Linked DNA regions of Struthio camelus. The protein of the gene in region 1 purifies or fractionates together with the protein of each later gene. This does not show direct contact. Links are inferred from orthologs where the notes say so. Each region holds a gene or a part of one and is shown on either strand. Other genes may lie near its edges.

What was found.
Region 2: the proteins of STX6 (region 1) and VAMP3 purify together in Homo sapiens (affinity purification with mass spectrometry; 5 studies listed by BioGRID and IntAct, counting the BioPlex papers as one, with this or other methods). This does not show direct contact. The link is inferred for Struthio camelus from reciprocal best matches to the Homo sapiens genes STX6 and VAMP3.

Annotation. Positions count from the first base shown.
Region 1 is NC_090949.1:6,931,711-6,939,405, reverse strand, and holds the start of STX6 (syntaxin-6), read left to right. Parts: upstream 1-4,404; 5' UTR 4,405-4,479; coding exon 4,480-4,514; intron 4,515-6,560; coding exon 6,561-6,730; intron 6,731-7,347; coding exon 7,348-7,442; intron 7,443-7,695. UniProt on the Homo sapiens protein: SNARE promoting movement of transport vesicles to target membranes. Targets endosomes to the trans-Golgi network, and may therefore function in retrograde trafficking.
Region 2 is NC_090962.1:231,577-239,286, reverse strand, and holds the start of VAMP3 (vesicle-associated membrane protein 3), read left to right. Parts: upstream 1-4,397; 5' UTR 4,398-4,527; coding exon 4,528-4,529; intron 4,530-5,834; coding exon 5,835-5,916; intron 5,917-6,737; coding exon 6,738-6,896; intron 6,897-7,598; coding exon 7,599-7,650; intron 7,651-7,710. UniProt on the Homo sapiens protein: SNARE involved in vesicular transport from the late endosomes to the trans-Golgi network.

The DNA of each region.
Region 1 (7,695 bases):
AGGGTTTGATCTCCCTGCTCCTTTCGATCTGGGGCCCTCTCCCATTGTAGGGACCTGCCTTTGGCCACTTTGTCCTTTCCCTCTGCACAGCTGACCTGGTTTGCGAGGCCGACTAAACGACTGCCTGCCCTCGGACAGAGCCTAGAGCCCTGGCAGGATGCCTCAGGACAGTCTTCCTCGGACAGCAGGATGATGAGCAAGAAACGGTTATGGAGTAAGGCTGCCTAGGAAAAGGTCCTTCTAATTTCTGCCCGGGGACAGATTCACTGGGCGTTCACGTGGGTGCCGCAGATGTCCTGTTTAATATGCTCCACTGCCGTTCCACTATCTAAATCACAGCTGGAATCAGCCTGACCTCCTGTCCTGTCACTGATTGAAAAACATAATGACGACTTCGGCGATCTGGCACCTCACTACTTACGTAATTAATTTCTTTTTGAATCTGAGTAAGCTCTCGGCATCATTGGCATCTTGTGGCAGTGAGTTCCCGAGGTTCGCTCTGGCAACACCTTCTTTGCTCAATTTCATTTCCCATTGTCATCTTCATTAAATGACCAATTGTTCATGCACTATGAAGAGGAAAATTAACTTTCTCCAAAACAACCCTTATTCTGAATAGTCATCCTGCATCCTCCATGAATTACTACCTTGCATTTGCTCATTTATTCCATGCTTATTTGCATTTTGAACTTCTTTTTCTGGTTGCCTACTTAGGGGCTGCAGTGTCTATACAGGCAGGCCTTTCACTATTCCTACCCCAACTGAGGGTAAGGCTACAGCATGAAATCAGCTTTTGTTAGACAACAGAGAACCCGCAAGGAAGAGCAACATAAGGAAAGCCACAGCCACGGCAAAAGCTTCAGTCGGGCTTTACTCCTTCCCAGATACCAGAAAATCCAACTGCAGGCTGCAAGCCCAAGGAAACCCACTCCATCAGCGCTGCCACGCACTGAGCTAGTTGTAACTTAGCTGCTTCCTCTCACACCTTGCTGAACTGGTAGCCATTGCCTCTGCGGCCTTCACCTGCTCCACTTTGGCTCTATTTTGTGCCCTGGGAAGGCAGAGATCTCTTTGAGTTACTGACATTTCTCAGCTGCCTCGTAAACTTGTGGGCAGCTTGGTACCTTCCAGGTTTCATCTCTAGCTGGCTGAGCACGTGTGGCTGGAAGCACCCAGCATTTAAGCCTTCCTCTTGGCAAGGAACAGGCACCCCTTGAGACCTTTTTGTTTTAATACCTCAGAGTCACCGATATCAACATGACACACGATTGCGCAGTAGAGGCCTCGTGCCATCTGCCCCCTTTGCGTTTTAGAGGGAAGTCACCATAAAACCTCACACTGTGATGTCTAAAAATGAGGCTCAGAAAAGCTAGTTATGAATGCAGAGGGGCCATGCCTGGATAGGATTTGGTGCACACTCTTGCAGCCCACCACAGCACTGAATGTTTAACCACAGACTAGTGTTTTGTGTCAAGTTATCACTGGCCTAATCCTCCGGTTACAACCACCATTGAAAATCTTCAACAACTTTTACTAAAAATGCAAACAAGGAAGAAAGGCACATGGAAGCATCTGAAACTCATTTACCTTATTTCCTTTAATGCTTCTTCCTTTCATTGTAAAGCCTTGTCTATGGGGAAAAAAATCCCCTATACTTTTGCAAATCCAAATCTAAACAAATCCAGCTTTTCCCCAAGAAGGAAAAGCCATCTCTTCCATGTCAAATGCATATTGTTAACACCAGACTAGTAGCTAGTACGGGATCAGACACACTCCCCCACACACATGTATACACTTGTCACAAATATTCTTCTGATAAAAGTTTCAGTGAACCCAGTTCATTTCTGCGGACGGTCTCGATTCTGATGAGTTGGCACTTTTCAGCACAAAAGTGTTTAATCAGATCTTTCCTGACCAGTTCTGCAGCTGCGCCGTGTGCCATTCACAGAGCGCTCCTCACCCGTGGAGAAATAGGTTAGCTGAGCGTGGGGAAAGCCACCAGAACGCTCCCTAGTGCTTCGAAGTAAAAGATCGGAACTTCCCACAAGAAACAGAGCAAAAATACTTCCATCCTAAAAAAATACAGCAGCAATTTGACTTTCTTGTGTGTGAATTTACGACATCATGTAAATTAACTCAATTCCCAGCATCATAAAAAAGGCTGCCTTTTTTTCTTCCTGTGAGGTTTGCACTTTCCCTACATTTCAAAAGTGCCTCCTTATTTTCAGCCCTCAACAGCACCACGAAGCTTTATACTTTTTCACAAAGGTGTAAGAGCCGCTTGCTCTCCCTAAAGCGACGTGAATAAAGGTTTCACGTAATTTATTAGAGGACTTCCAAAATTCCCAGCTAGCAACTCTCAGGGGCTACCAGAGCTTTGCTCTTTCATTCCCAGCACAGTGAAGATTCAGTGGGATACTTGCAACGTGAGCGAGCTGAACGGCGCAGCCTCAGCCCACTGACAGCAAAGAGCTGCAGATTGCCAGACTTTTACAAGCGTTTGAACAAATCTAACCAAGATAGCGTTTGGTGTGATGCTCAGCATACACCATCTCTGTGAGTGCACGAGCAGACAACCAAGTAATTAACACAACCAAGTCCAAGCACGAAGAGCGACTCCCTGGGAGACGCTGAAAAGGCAGCAACAAGGCTACGACACGCTTCGAGCTGCCGACTGGCTGCTTCTGAAAGGTTTCACAGCGGAGGGTGTGTATTCACACACGTGAGCTGTGTCTCTGCCACGGTGTCCTGTACTTCCTGGAACAACCCGCCACCCTCTGAGCCTGTTTGTACTACGTATGTAGATAAGGTGCACTGCCCTGAGAAATTCTGCCTTTGCAGAGCACCCCAGCACCTGAAGCAAAGCCAGCACGGTACCTCTTGGCTGCACCACACGGCAGCAAGGCCTTGGCTGTAACATCTCTCGCAGGGCAGACAGGAGGAATCCAGAATGGCTCAGCAGCTCCAGGCCAGCCCAAGCTCTTCTTTCCCCGCTTGGAAAAGTGCTGGTGTCCCTCCTCCATCCAAAAGTTACGGTCAGCTCAAGCCTGCTGGCATTTCCAGAGAAAGGCAAGAAGTCCAAAGGCGCTAGAGCAGGCAGCTAGGGCCGCAGTGCAGCACGAGGGGTAGTGGCAACAGGGGTTATTTTGCAGGTAACATGAGGACTTCAGTGAAGGGGGGACAGAAACAAGTATTGCACAAGAGGAGCTTTGGCAGCTGGGCACGGGGAAGTTGGAGAGGAGGGATGGGAGCCCTGAAGAGTGCAAAGCGCAGGTGGAAATCACAGGAGGACTGCGGGGCTTGGAGGACAAGGGCTTCGGGGGGCAGATGTAACTGAGCGAGTGTCTCCTTGGCACTCTGCTTTCCGCTCCTGTCCATGAGTGCTCTCGGAGTCCCAAGGCAACTCCAGCTCTGCACAGGGCATGTTCAGCACAGCACATTTCGCGGGAATCCCCTGAAACCTGCCTGCGTGGGAAACAAGCCATCCGAGGTGATGCAAGGAGCGGCCGCAAACACAGCCCTAGCGCTCCTGCGAGTTGCGCCACACCTGAGAAGCGGTGGTTTTCCAAGCGCGGGGCTGGCCAAAGCAGCAGGCGGATGGCTCACTCGGCAAACTAAAGAAACCAGTTTTACACGCGCCGCAGCCTTCCCACCCCACGCTCGTGAGTAAATCTGCTGCGATTGCAAAAGCGACTTATCCCTTTCACATGCTGAGAAAGCATCTCTACGGATAGGCTTTGTACCTATTCCTTCGGCTAACCAGCACCGTCTTCGCTATCGGCACCGGACTGCAACCGCACGAGGAAAGCGGCGGCCAGGCCACACCCTCTGGTGAACACAGCAGCGATCGGGGGGATCGCTGGACGCAGCGCACCCCGGGCCTCGCAGGGCCAGCCCAGGCCGGGCGCTGCCAGGAGGGCGGCGGGGACGCTGCCCCAGGCCTGCCCGGGGGTCCCTCCTCTCGGTGCCAGCGCCTCGGGGCTGCCACGGGCAGCAACAGCCCTTTCCAATCCCTCAGAGCCGCCCGGGAGGCTGAGAGGCTACGGAGGAGCCTGAAGGCGGGGAGCCAGGGGCTCCTCGCTCAGCCAGCGGCCGCGGGGCCGGGCCGGGCCCTCCGGAGCGGGGCACCCCACGAAGGGCCACGCGAGCACAAGGGACCGGCTGGCCCTTCCCCTCGTTCCTCCCCCGGCAGAGCAGAGCGCAGCACGGCGGCCGGGCCGAGCGGCGGGAGCGGCCGCCGCTCCCTCAGGGAACCGCCGCCGCCGCCACCACCACAGCGGCCAACGGCCACACGGCGCCGCGCGGCGCAAGGAGGGGGGGGAGGGGCGGGCAGCGTCACGTGCCGCCCCCGCGCGCTGGGCGCAGGCGCGCGGCCCGTGACGAGGCGCGTGGGCGGGGCGGGGCGGGGGCGCGCGGGGCGCCCGGGCTCAGGCGGCGGAGGTGGCGGCGGCGGCGGCAGGGAGCGGGGCCGGCGCCGCCATGTCCATGGAGGACCCCTTCTTCGTGGTGAAGGGGTGAGCGGGGCCCGGCTGCGGGGGGTCCCGCGGGGGTGGGGCGGGCCCGAGCCCTCTGCGCGGCGGCGCCGCCACACCGGGGATGTCCCTCCGTGGGTGGGGGGGGGGGGGGATCGGGCCTCCCCGAGCCGCCACCACCCCCCGCCCCCGTGCGCCAGGCCGGGGCCTCGCCGCCCCCTCTGCTGCTGCTCAGGGGCTCGGGAGGGGAGGAGGGACCCCCCCCCCCGGCCCCGGGAACCCCCCCGAGGGCGGCCGGCGAGGCGGCGGCCCCACGCGAGGGACGCGCGTGGCCGCTCGCGGCGAGGCGGCCGCGGCGCGAGGAGGCTGGCGGCCACCCCCTCGCAGGCGGCTGGGCGGCGCGGAGGGCCGCGGAAGGGAGGCGGTCGAGGCAGGGGGCGAGGGGAACCCTAACGAAGAGGGGCGAAGCACCTTTGACCTCTTAAGAAGCAGGCCGGGGTGATTTCCCCGCTTCTGGTGGGAGCCGGTTGTCCGGCTCCGTGTCGCAGCGAAGCCGTGGGGACGCGAGCGGCCGTCCGGAGCGGTGGAGGGATTCGGAGGAAGCTGCTGCGAACGGGAGGAGCGCGGCACCAGCCGGAGTTCGCTCAGGGGGCGAACGCAAGCGAATCGCTCTTCCAGGTTGAACTGGTGCTATGGGAAACAAAACTACAACAACAACAACAACAAAAACCCACTAAAGGCCGTGGGTGGGGAGCAAACGTCCTGTCAGACTTTCCAGAGAGATTCCCCGCGCTGTGAGGGAAAGGGTTGGGAGGGGAGCGGGGATGTGCTGCCGCTTTTGGTGTTGATTCTTCTCCTGCAGGTTGCAGTGGAAGGGGTTGGTGTTCAAGCCCAGCCGTGCTTCATTCAATTTGCTTTCCTTTCATTCATAACTCCTCCCATCTGCAAACATCGAGCTCCGCTTTAGACTTCCACTTGTAGGGACTTCCTCGAGCACATTCAGATTTGAAAAAAAAAAAAAAACACCCAAAACTTTGCCTAGCAAGTAACAGAGGAAACAAACCACACTAGATCCTTAGTCCTGGCTGCTAACTTTAGGGGAGTAGATGCAACAGACTCTTTGAGCCATAAATGTCCGAGAAGAGGAGGAACACACATCAAGGTGCAGAGACTTCAGCATAATGATGTAATGTAGAGAGACCTGGAGCCCAATGGCCCTCCGAGGGCTGCTGGGTGAGGACGTGGTTCACCCATCTAGGCTTCTCCAACTGGTAAACTGCTTTGATTCACTGGAGATCAGCGCCCCTTGCACGATCCTGTGTGCAAGCTCTTGGATTCGTGGCCACCTTTCAAGAGCCAGCAAAGTCTCGCTGGCGTTGGTCTTGTCTGTCTGCCTCGTCCTGACTCGCCGTTAGCCCAAGAGAATGGTCCATAGTGTTTGTACGTATGGATAATCACACCGACAGTTACCTGCCCTCTTGCCCCAAACCGTGAATGCAGCGTTCAGTGCTGTCAGCAAAGCCTATGTTCCCATGCTGTGAATGCGCTCTTCTCTAAAAAGCTGAGAGCAGCAGAAGAGAGTTCTGTTGGCTAAGCCAGTGCAGTAGAGCCGTGTATTTTTTTAATGCTAAATTAAAGTAAACAGTGCTGCGCTGGACAGTCTGCATGACTGTAACGTGGGGGCAGTTCCTCTAATTCTGTTTGCCCTTGGGGTATCTTGCCTAGGTAGTCAACAGTCTTTAGAGGAAAGCTGTTGGGAGAAATGCAAAATAATAATTGCCAAATAAGAGTCTTGATCAGACAGTTGCACTGCCCTATCTTGCTGTTTGTGACACTGAACAGAAACCTCCGGTAGCTGAACTATGAGTTGTTGCTCAGCACTTCATGCTACAACACTAAAGGAGACGAGCTTGTCCAGAAGCGTGGTGAATCCTTATTTTACAAAATAAACCAAAAATACTTGAAGGAAAGATGTTTGGGAGGAGGTTGCACATCCCTGCTCTCCTGGACATGGGACTGTCCCTGCATGACTGCGGCAAAACAACTAAAAATAATCCCTTCACTTCTCTTTAATTATCCTGACTGCAGGGAGGTGCAGAAAGCAGTGAATACTGCCCAGGGGCTCTTCCAGAGGTGGACGGAGCTCTTGCAAGATCCCTCTATAGCCACAAGAGAAGAAATTGACTGGACCACTAATGAGCTCAGGAACAATTTGCGGAGCATCGAGTGGGACTTGGAAGACCTGGATGAAACAATTAATATCCTTTTTGCACTGCTGGTGCCGTCTTTGGAGGTAGAGAGAGGCAGTTCACACCTTGCAATAAACAGTCAAGTGCTCGTGCTCGCCAGTAGTTGCTTTTTGCAGAAACCAAGACTGTTCGGGATTGAATTTTCAGTTTACCCCAGGTTTTCTCGAATTGCAAATGAGAGAGGAAGATGACAAAACAGGTTCTGCGCACGAATTTCCCTCTGCGTTTTTGTTCACCTTTTGAAAAGGTGTCTATTAAGATGCTTTCTTCCCAGAAAACTGTTCTGTTGAATGAACTTGGATTTCTGTGTAGTCAGTCCTACTCGAGGCTGGCTTCCAGAAATACTCCTTTTCCCTGTGTTCGGCTGAACACTCCTGAAAGTGCTGCACAGCATCAGACAACCAAAAACCACACGAGCGTGTGGTTTCTTTCTCGTGCGTTCTGCAAAGTATGTTGCAGCCGTGCTTTTTTCCTTTAGTGTCTTGTACTTTGCTAATCGAATGTTGGGAAAAGGCACAGGTAAATGGAGGCGCTATACCGCGTGATAGACTTCTCAGTGGTCAGGATTTCTCTATCTGCGTACGTACTGCACCCTGCAAACAGTGATTCCTTGACTTGTTCTCTACGCATTGTTGAGGCAAACCCTCGGAAATTCAACCTCGATGCAACGGAGTTGGGTATACGGAAAACCTTCATCACAAGCACGCGGCAGGTGGTCAGGGTAAGGAACGTGGGCTTCAGGTAGGAACGGGGCACAAGCGTTGGGGTGGGGGGGCCACTTCGGTGGGAAAGCAGAAAGCTTGCGGCCATTTCAGTGCTGAACTGGAAACTGGTTTCCCCCGCAGTAGAGGACAAACCTGTTACCTGCTCTCTCTTGGGCTTCTTCCTCTTCTCCGTATGCTCCCTCCAGGGGCTTCCCAGACAAGCTAGGGGCACAGCAAGGATGTGGAGACCTCATTGCATCCCCTACCTGG
Region 2 (7,710 bases), on another chromosome or scaffold:
CTGAATCAATGGATCTGTTGAAGAACTCAGCTGCTGGAACCATGCAAATGTTTTGAATTGCCCTTAAAATATGGAAAATGTTTTCTGAATGCTTTATATTCTTTCTGCTGTAAATTAAAAACAAAGAAAATTTCCCCATACGAAGTGTGGACCTTTTTTTTAAACACTCTCTCTTCCATTCTAGTAAAAAGAGCAACATATTCCTTCAGTAGCTATTAATAACCTTAGGAAAAAAAGCGTTTCTTTTACTCCATAACCTGCTTGTAAATAATACCTGGTTATAATCTGAATGGTCCAAACTCTACCCTCTCTGGGTGTGCAGCATCCAGAGCGCAGTGGGATTCGCTAAACAGAACCGCACGCTCCCCAAATCGTCAGCATTTTCTGCTTCTTACAGTCCTGTATGTAACCTTCATCAGGTGCGTAAAGCAGCACATTGCAGAGGAACTCTTCTGATTTTTCACACAGTGAACTCTTCCAGGTCTTTGCTGCAAGGCGCTGATGCCCAAAGGTGCTCTGTGACTCCCCAGCGTGGCTCTGCCTCCCTGGGACCTTTCCAGGTTCGGAGCCAGCCGTGGAGCTCCACAACACCGTTCTGCACTGCCAGCTCAGGCCCCCGGGCACTGTAGGCAGCTCCCACGGCTTGCCACCCAAGCTGGCAGCCATCAGACAAAATGTTTAAGACACCAGCCACTTCTTCTGTTTCTTCTCCTGCAGTCCTCACCCCTTAGAGAAACTTTTCTTTTTGAGTGCGGTCTTCGCTTTTACAGTAGAAAGGAAAACCGACTTAACATCTCAAACATTGGGCACCCATTCTCTCTAAGCTTCAAATTACAGATTTTGCCAAGATAACTACAACTACACAAAAGCACTAAAAAACCCATTGTGTTTAAACAAAATACAATAGGGACGGGTTCTGCCCAGCTGCAGCTCACTGGAAGCAGGCTTGTTTGGCAGAAATTAATTTTCAAGGCAGTATAATACACTTTAATATGGTCAATGTTCTGTGAAATTATGACAGAGTGCTAGTTTAAAAAGAAAATAATTACTTGTGAAGTAGCTCAAATTGGTTGAATGAATGTTTTGATCAGGGATAAAGGCATGATTTTGTTTCCATCTTTGCTCATTGCTGTATCTGCAGCATGGGCAGCACCATTTGCTGTATGTACTCTCAAAATGCTGATAAGGACAAAATGGCATTTTTCCTTTTTGTAGTATAACAAGTTTTCTACAAGATCCAGCAAATGTTTTGTATGCTTGTATCTTTTTAATGAAATGAAAATGAAGAGAAAAAAGAGTAGTAGCAGGAAAGTGTTGAGAAATATTTGACCGACTCTTCATTGGTCTCAATTCTAAGTTTCCTAACTCAGCAGCTATAGCTAATAGTATATATCTGGCAGATATGGAATCAGCTACAAACTGCTAGCTTGTCTGAGCACAAATTATTTTCAGTACCTCTTCAGTTAAAAAAAAAAAAAAAAAAAAAAGATCACTTTCAAAACAGGGCTCATGTCCGAGCTTTCCATGAGAAATCATGCACATGTAGTAGTAGAATCCAAAATCCTATGCTGCACACAGTCCAATCTTACTAAAATTCATGAGGCCTTCAGATGTCCAAACCTAAGAGGGTCACATTTAATAACACAATAATATTGATAACAGATACATAAGTTACCTGAACTAACCCTCAGTAAGGCAAGTAATTGTAGCCAACTATGAAGTTAGCCTACCAGAGAAAAATACTTTTAACACTATCTCTTTTTTGTAAGACTATGTATTATCACAAGTTCTTCCAATACCCATGACTGCAACAGTAGACTAGATTTAATTAAGAGAGTTTCTTCTGGAATTCAGTGAAACACGTTTAAGTATGTTGCTCTTTAAGCATAAATCTACATTGTTATTTAACCCCCCAAATTGTTCTCCAGTTCTTCCCTGAGCGTCCATTTTGCATGCCTGTTAATTTGGGGGTTCTCCTTTGCCGTAAGCCAGCTAATTCTCTGAGCGATGAGCCCAGGCGCACTTCTGGACATAATTGACTTTGGGGCCCATTCACAGTAGACAGCAGGGTAAGACCAGACCCGACTTGGTACACTGTGCAAGCATGCAAACCATCCTGGGAGGCTTTGTGCTCTTGAGTGTCCTCCGCTTACCCTTAGGTCATGCAAGGCATGCACTCAGTGTGGTATGATTAAAAATCGTAACTGGCAGGCTAGACCACACACACATACCCACACAGTATATAAGAAAAATGATATCTTAAAAATCATCACAAGGATCGAGCAGCAACAGGCCAAGTGTTTGTTAGGCAATCAGTATAATTGTATCCATTCACTTCAGAGGGTGCTGCTCCTAAGAACTGGGGGATACCCACTGCACTACTTGCCTGGGAGCATGAATCACTCTTAAAGTCATGAATACATTTAGCACTGTAGATGTAGCTTAAGCATCACCATGCAGGCATACAGCTGATAGCCAGCTTGCCACTAAACCAAGGAAATGCTTACTCTGTTTTCAGAGAACACATGGAGAAGACTCACTCCTGAAGGAACTGAGACTCCTTAAAAAAAATACAGATCTTTTTCTTTTGTTTTCTTTCCGTATGCTTGAAATCCAGGTAACAAAGTAACTTCAGCTGTACAAAAGCCTACACAGACTTGGGGAGGCATACCATAATGACAGCAGCAACATGTCCCTTTAACATATACCGAACAGTGTAGGTGTGTCCCTGCCATTACACAAGCACAGAAGCTGTCCAGAGGAACAGGCTGTGTCCCTTGTATGCCAGGCAAAACTGCATGTGTGTGCGCGTGCACATGTATACATATGCACTCTTTATCAAATCTAAAGGTGATCTCTTTCACAGATCATTCCTAACCTGGTTGCTGCCTGTCCTCTTCAGTACCTCACTGTTTCACTGATGTCCACCATCACAGTGTGGCCAACTGTCTGCAAAAGATAAACATCCCAGGTTTAGCCAGGAACTGAGAGTCCAGCCCTTTCCTGGCAGCTTTTGTCAAAGGCGGCTCCCCCAAGCCCGTTTGTTAGCCCTCTTCCTCCTTTGCACTGTACTGAAGCAAAGTATCACAGTGCTTATCCTGCTAGGCAGTTCCCACCTGCCATAGAACAGGTGTGGGTTTTTACCTTGCAGGCTTGTCTGTCACAGAAAGGCTGGTGTAAGGGACAACGTGCAGCCTGCTCAGCAAGCTGGGTATGCCTGCTGAGGGCGGCCTGCCAATTACAGCAGCGTGTCTGCCACTGGGCTGGGGGAGGGGGGGGGAAACACTCATATTTGGGCCTCCCTGGTAGCATAACCACACAGTTCAGAGGGCTTTGAACAAGCAACACCCCCCGCCCCCGGCACAAATCCTCTCAGTCCCTGTATGGCGGGGTTACCTGCTTCACAGGCACAGCCCACATCGAGGCCTCTGCCGATGCCTGGTTCAAGCCCGCGTGCCCGCAGCCTGGCACCAGCCGCTCCCACCAGGCGTTGCACTCACGCAACACGCCCCGGCCACCCGCGGGCACTGCCGGGCTGGACCGGTGGGGAGAGCCGGAGCGGGCGGAGAAACCCCTGCGGCGCCTGACGCAGCGGCGAGCGCCGCCACAGCCGTTCCCGACCTCCCGCCCCGCCCTCGCCACCACCTCAGCGGCCCCGGCGCGCGACCCCCCCCCCTCCCCAACGGCCGCGAGGCGAGCCCGCCAACGGCCGCGGCGCGCGACCCCCCCCAACGGCCGCGAGGCGAGCCCAACGGCCGCGGCGCGCGACCCCCCCCCTCCCCAACGGCCGCGAGGCGAGCCCGCCAACGGCCGCGGCGCGCGACCCCCCCCAACGGCCGCGAGGCGAGCCCCCCCCCCCCCAACGGCCGCGAGGCGAGCCCGCCAACGGCCGCGGCGCGCGACCCCCCCCCAACGGCCGCGAGGCGAGCCCAACGGCCGCGGCGCGCGACCCCCCCCAACGGCCGCGAGGCGAGCCCCCCCCCCCAACGGCCGCGAGGCGAGCCCAACGGCCGCGGCGCGCGACCCCCCCCAACGGCCGCGAGGCGAGCCCGCCAACGGCCGCGGGGCGCGACCCCCCCCCTCCAACGGCCGCGAGGCGAGCCCGCCAACGGCCGCGGCGCGCGACCCCCCCCCCTCCAACGGCCGCGAGGCGAGCCCAACGGCCGCGGCGCGCGACCCTCCCCCTCCCCCTCCCCCTCCCCAACGGCCGCGAGGCGAGCCCGCCAACGGCCGCGGCGCGCGACCCCCCCCCTCCAACGGCCGCGAGGCGAGCCCAACGGTCGCGGCGCGCGACCCTCCCCCTCCCCAACGGCCGCGAGGCGAGCCCGCCAACGGCCGTGGCGCCCGACCCCCCCCCCGCCCCCCAACGGCCGCGGCACGCGCCGGCCGCCCCGCCCGCTCGGGGCTGTGGCCTAGGCAAGGCCCGCCCCGGCTCGTCACATCGCGAGGGCTGGCGGGGCTGCGCGCACTTCCTGCCGGGCGCGGTCGGACGTTTTCGGTGGGCGGCAGCTCGACCCCGGCGGCAGCATGTGAGTGTGGGCCGGGGTGGGCGGCGGGCCCGAGGTGGGGGGGGGAGCCCGCGGCCGGGGGAGCCGGGGCGGCGGGCGAGCGGCGCTGGGCGGGCCGTGCCGGGTCGGGCGGCGGCCGGAGCAGGCCGGACGGGCGGGCGGGGAGGGGCGGGGCGGGGCGGGGGGCTCGTGGGAGCGGCTGTGCCTGGAGCCGTGAGGGGCGCTGCGGTGGCTGAGAGCCGCGTAGTGTCGCTGGCCCAGGCACTGGGGCGTTCGTCTTCTGCTTAGGGTGGGCTATCCTGTCCTGGTTTCTTCAGGCCAGTCTGAAGGGGCTTCTGTCAAGTCTACCAAGGCGGTCTAGTCTTGGATTAGCAGTGAAAGAGTATAAAAGGGTGACCTCGCTGTCAAGGTGTAGGAGCAGTTCTGTTGTCATACATGTGGACTGCTCTTGAGCCCTGTCATAGGCTTCCTGGTTTGCTCCTTGTACAGGTACACCTTTGTTCCCTTTAAATGTAGATTTAGGTTAAAATGTATAAATATAGCTAATATTCAAATTCATCTTTCTTATATCAAGGTGCACTAAACAGTAGTGTGTCTGATGCAGAATGGATGAAAATACAGAAGAGCAAATTGAGTACAGCTAGTCCTAGAGACGGATAACAAAAAGACATTAAAGCCGCGAAGAGGGCATGGGGAATGTGTAGAGAGGATCTTGGTTCAGTTACAGAGATGCAAAGTGTTGCAGCTGGTAAAAGGAACTAGATTGCCTGACCTTAGGAATTAAAAGCTGACCGCAAGTAAATTGCTGTATGCTGAATGCTTTTTCCTCATTGTGCTTTCTCTGGCTCCATGCCAACTGTTTCAAACAAAACGGGTAAGCACTGGAAGAGCGTGTAGTTAGAATAACCATTAAGTTTCTGTATTTCATTTTTGGAAAGCTGCTGAGTCTTGAAGCTTAGTATTTGCATTCTTTCTGAAGAAAACACCCCTGAACCCAAGCTCTTGAATGTTTGAGCCCTATGAGCCATTGTAGAAGTCACTGTATGCCTTATTACAAGTTGCATTATTAGCCAGCCACAGCTGTCTTTTAGCACTTCAAGCAATTAATTCACTGGCAGGAGGTTTTAGGGCACAGCTTGATTTATACCCAAGGTCAGTGGTTAAAACCTCATTTCTCCCATGGGAAAGGAAACTGCCCCATATTTCTTCCAAGGATCCAAGGTCCCTGTTTTCAGGAACAGCAGATAATTTCTAAACTTAAGCTTATCAACTTGAAGAAAATTATAAAAAGTGATTATAAAATAATGATTGCTTTCCTTAATGCAGGTCAGCAAGCGGCCCTGGAAGCTCAAATGTTGCTGCTGGCAGTAATCGTCGTCTTCAACAAACACAACACCAAGTAGATGAGGTAAAGGTCTAGTCTGATAGCAGTGTAATTCTGTCTCTTTCAGAAAACCTGATAAGCAAAATAGATAAGCTTTGGCCGCAGCAGTTATTATTCCTTTATGTGAAAGGGAAGCCTAGTATAATTCAGCTTTCCTTATTATACTTGTATCACTTTGGGTCTTGAAAAGGTTTAAAACAAAAAACAAAAAAAAGGGGAGGGTGAGGGGTGGCAGCATGTCAAAAAACTTCCATTCTGCTGTTCTGCCGGAGTGGGGAGAAGTTGCCAGCGTCTAAAGGTTAGCTGCAAACTCTATGTCTGAGGATTGGGCGTAAGTTAAAATAGTACCCTTTGTTCTTACAGAGAACAAACTTTTCTTTCCTCGGTGGCAAAGGCAGCTGATCGTCTCCAAATAAGACATGCCCAAATTTCTGAGGAATCCAAAAGCCGTTAACGGTTAAGAGCAGCTTTATCTGCTTGAACAGGATAGCACTTAAAATGAATTGCATGTCAAAAATATTTTGTCAGTCATGGTAAAATGCCTCAACTCCTTCTGAAGTAGGTCGTAAATAATTTCCCAGGTTTCAGGGAATGCCAGCACAACTTAGAGAACTTTTCTGCAGTACTGACGTTTGAAAGTAGGTATTAGGAACTTCCAGCTGCATGTGAAATGCACATTTTCACTGAAGCTCGCGATTAGATTTCCTAAAAGGCAATTGCTCCTACTCCTTAGGAGAACATTAAAAATATCAAAAATATCAGGTATTGGGATCTGTTGTCTGCAATTAATCTCTCCAATGGGTGATACAGTTGATGTACTTACTGTAAGTGTTAAATTGATGTAGGTGGTTGACATCATGAGGGTGAATGTGGACAAGGTATTGGAACGAGATCAGAAGCTGTCAGAGTTGGATGACCGTGCTGATGCGCTGCAAGCAGGAGCTTCCCAGTTTGAGACCAGTGCAGCCAAACTGAAAAGAAAGTATTGGTGGAAGAACTGTAAGGTAACTGTGGCTTGAATACTTGAACTACTCAGTATTACAATCAGTATCTCAGAAAGCAGAAGTAAAAATGACTCGACCAATGTTAAGTTATAGCAGCTAGTTTTAAAACATATACCACAGAGCTTGTGCGCAGTGATCAATGTCTGGATTACCAGCCCTGCTCCTTGACACAAGACCTTGTCTAAGATGGAAATGGCCAAAGGGAAATATTATTGCAATCTGAGGCTTTGGGGAACAAGAGGGAAAAGACCAAAAATATATCGGTGGAGCTAACCTGCAAGGAAGCATTGCAAAGCCGAAGGAGCTCGCTCAGTCTTCCGCAGCTCCTGGCAAATGTTGGAACCTTCTTTGAGCAACAAAGTGGAAAATGTGGTGTAGGATAGGAGTAGAAGAGGTGTTTAATAGGATTCTTCTTACTCCTGTTGGTATAGTCACCTGAGACAGGCTTTGCATAGAGACATAACGGAAGGGAGCTTCTTGGTCTACTTCAGTTGCCAGTGTGCACAACCTACCATTTCTGAGTGTCAATCAAGATGAGCTTGCTGCACAAGTTCTTAACAAGTTAACAAGTACCTTGTTAATCTAGCACACAGTGCAAGAGTACCTTGCAATGGCTGCTTCCCCCCTTGCCCCCAGTACCCTAAAAGCCTGTAAATGCTGCTGCATAGTCTTGTAGTAAGTGTGTTGTGGCTTTTTTCACAGATGTGGGCAATATTGATAGCTGTTGTTCTCATTATCATCATCATCATCATTGGTAAGTTTCACTGAAATGGGGATTTCTCTGAAGAGTTGCAGTGGAAGGGATTAATTCACT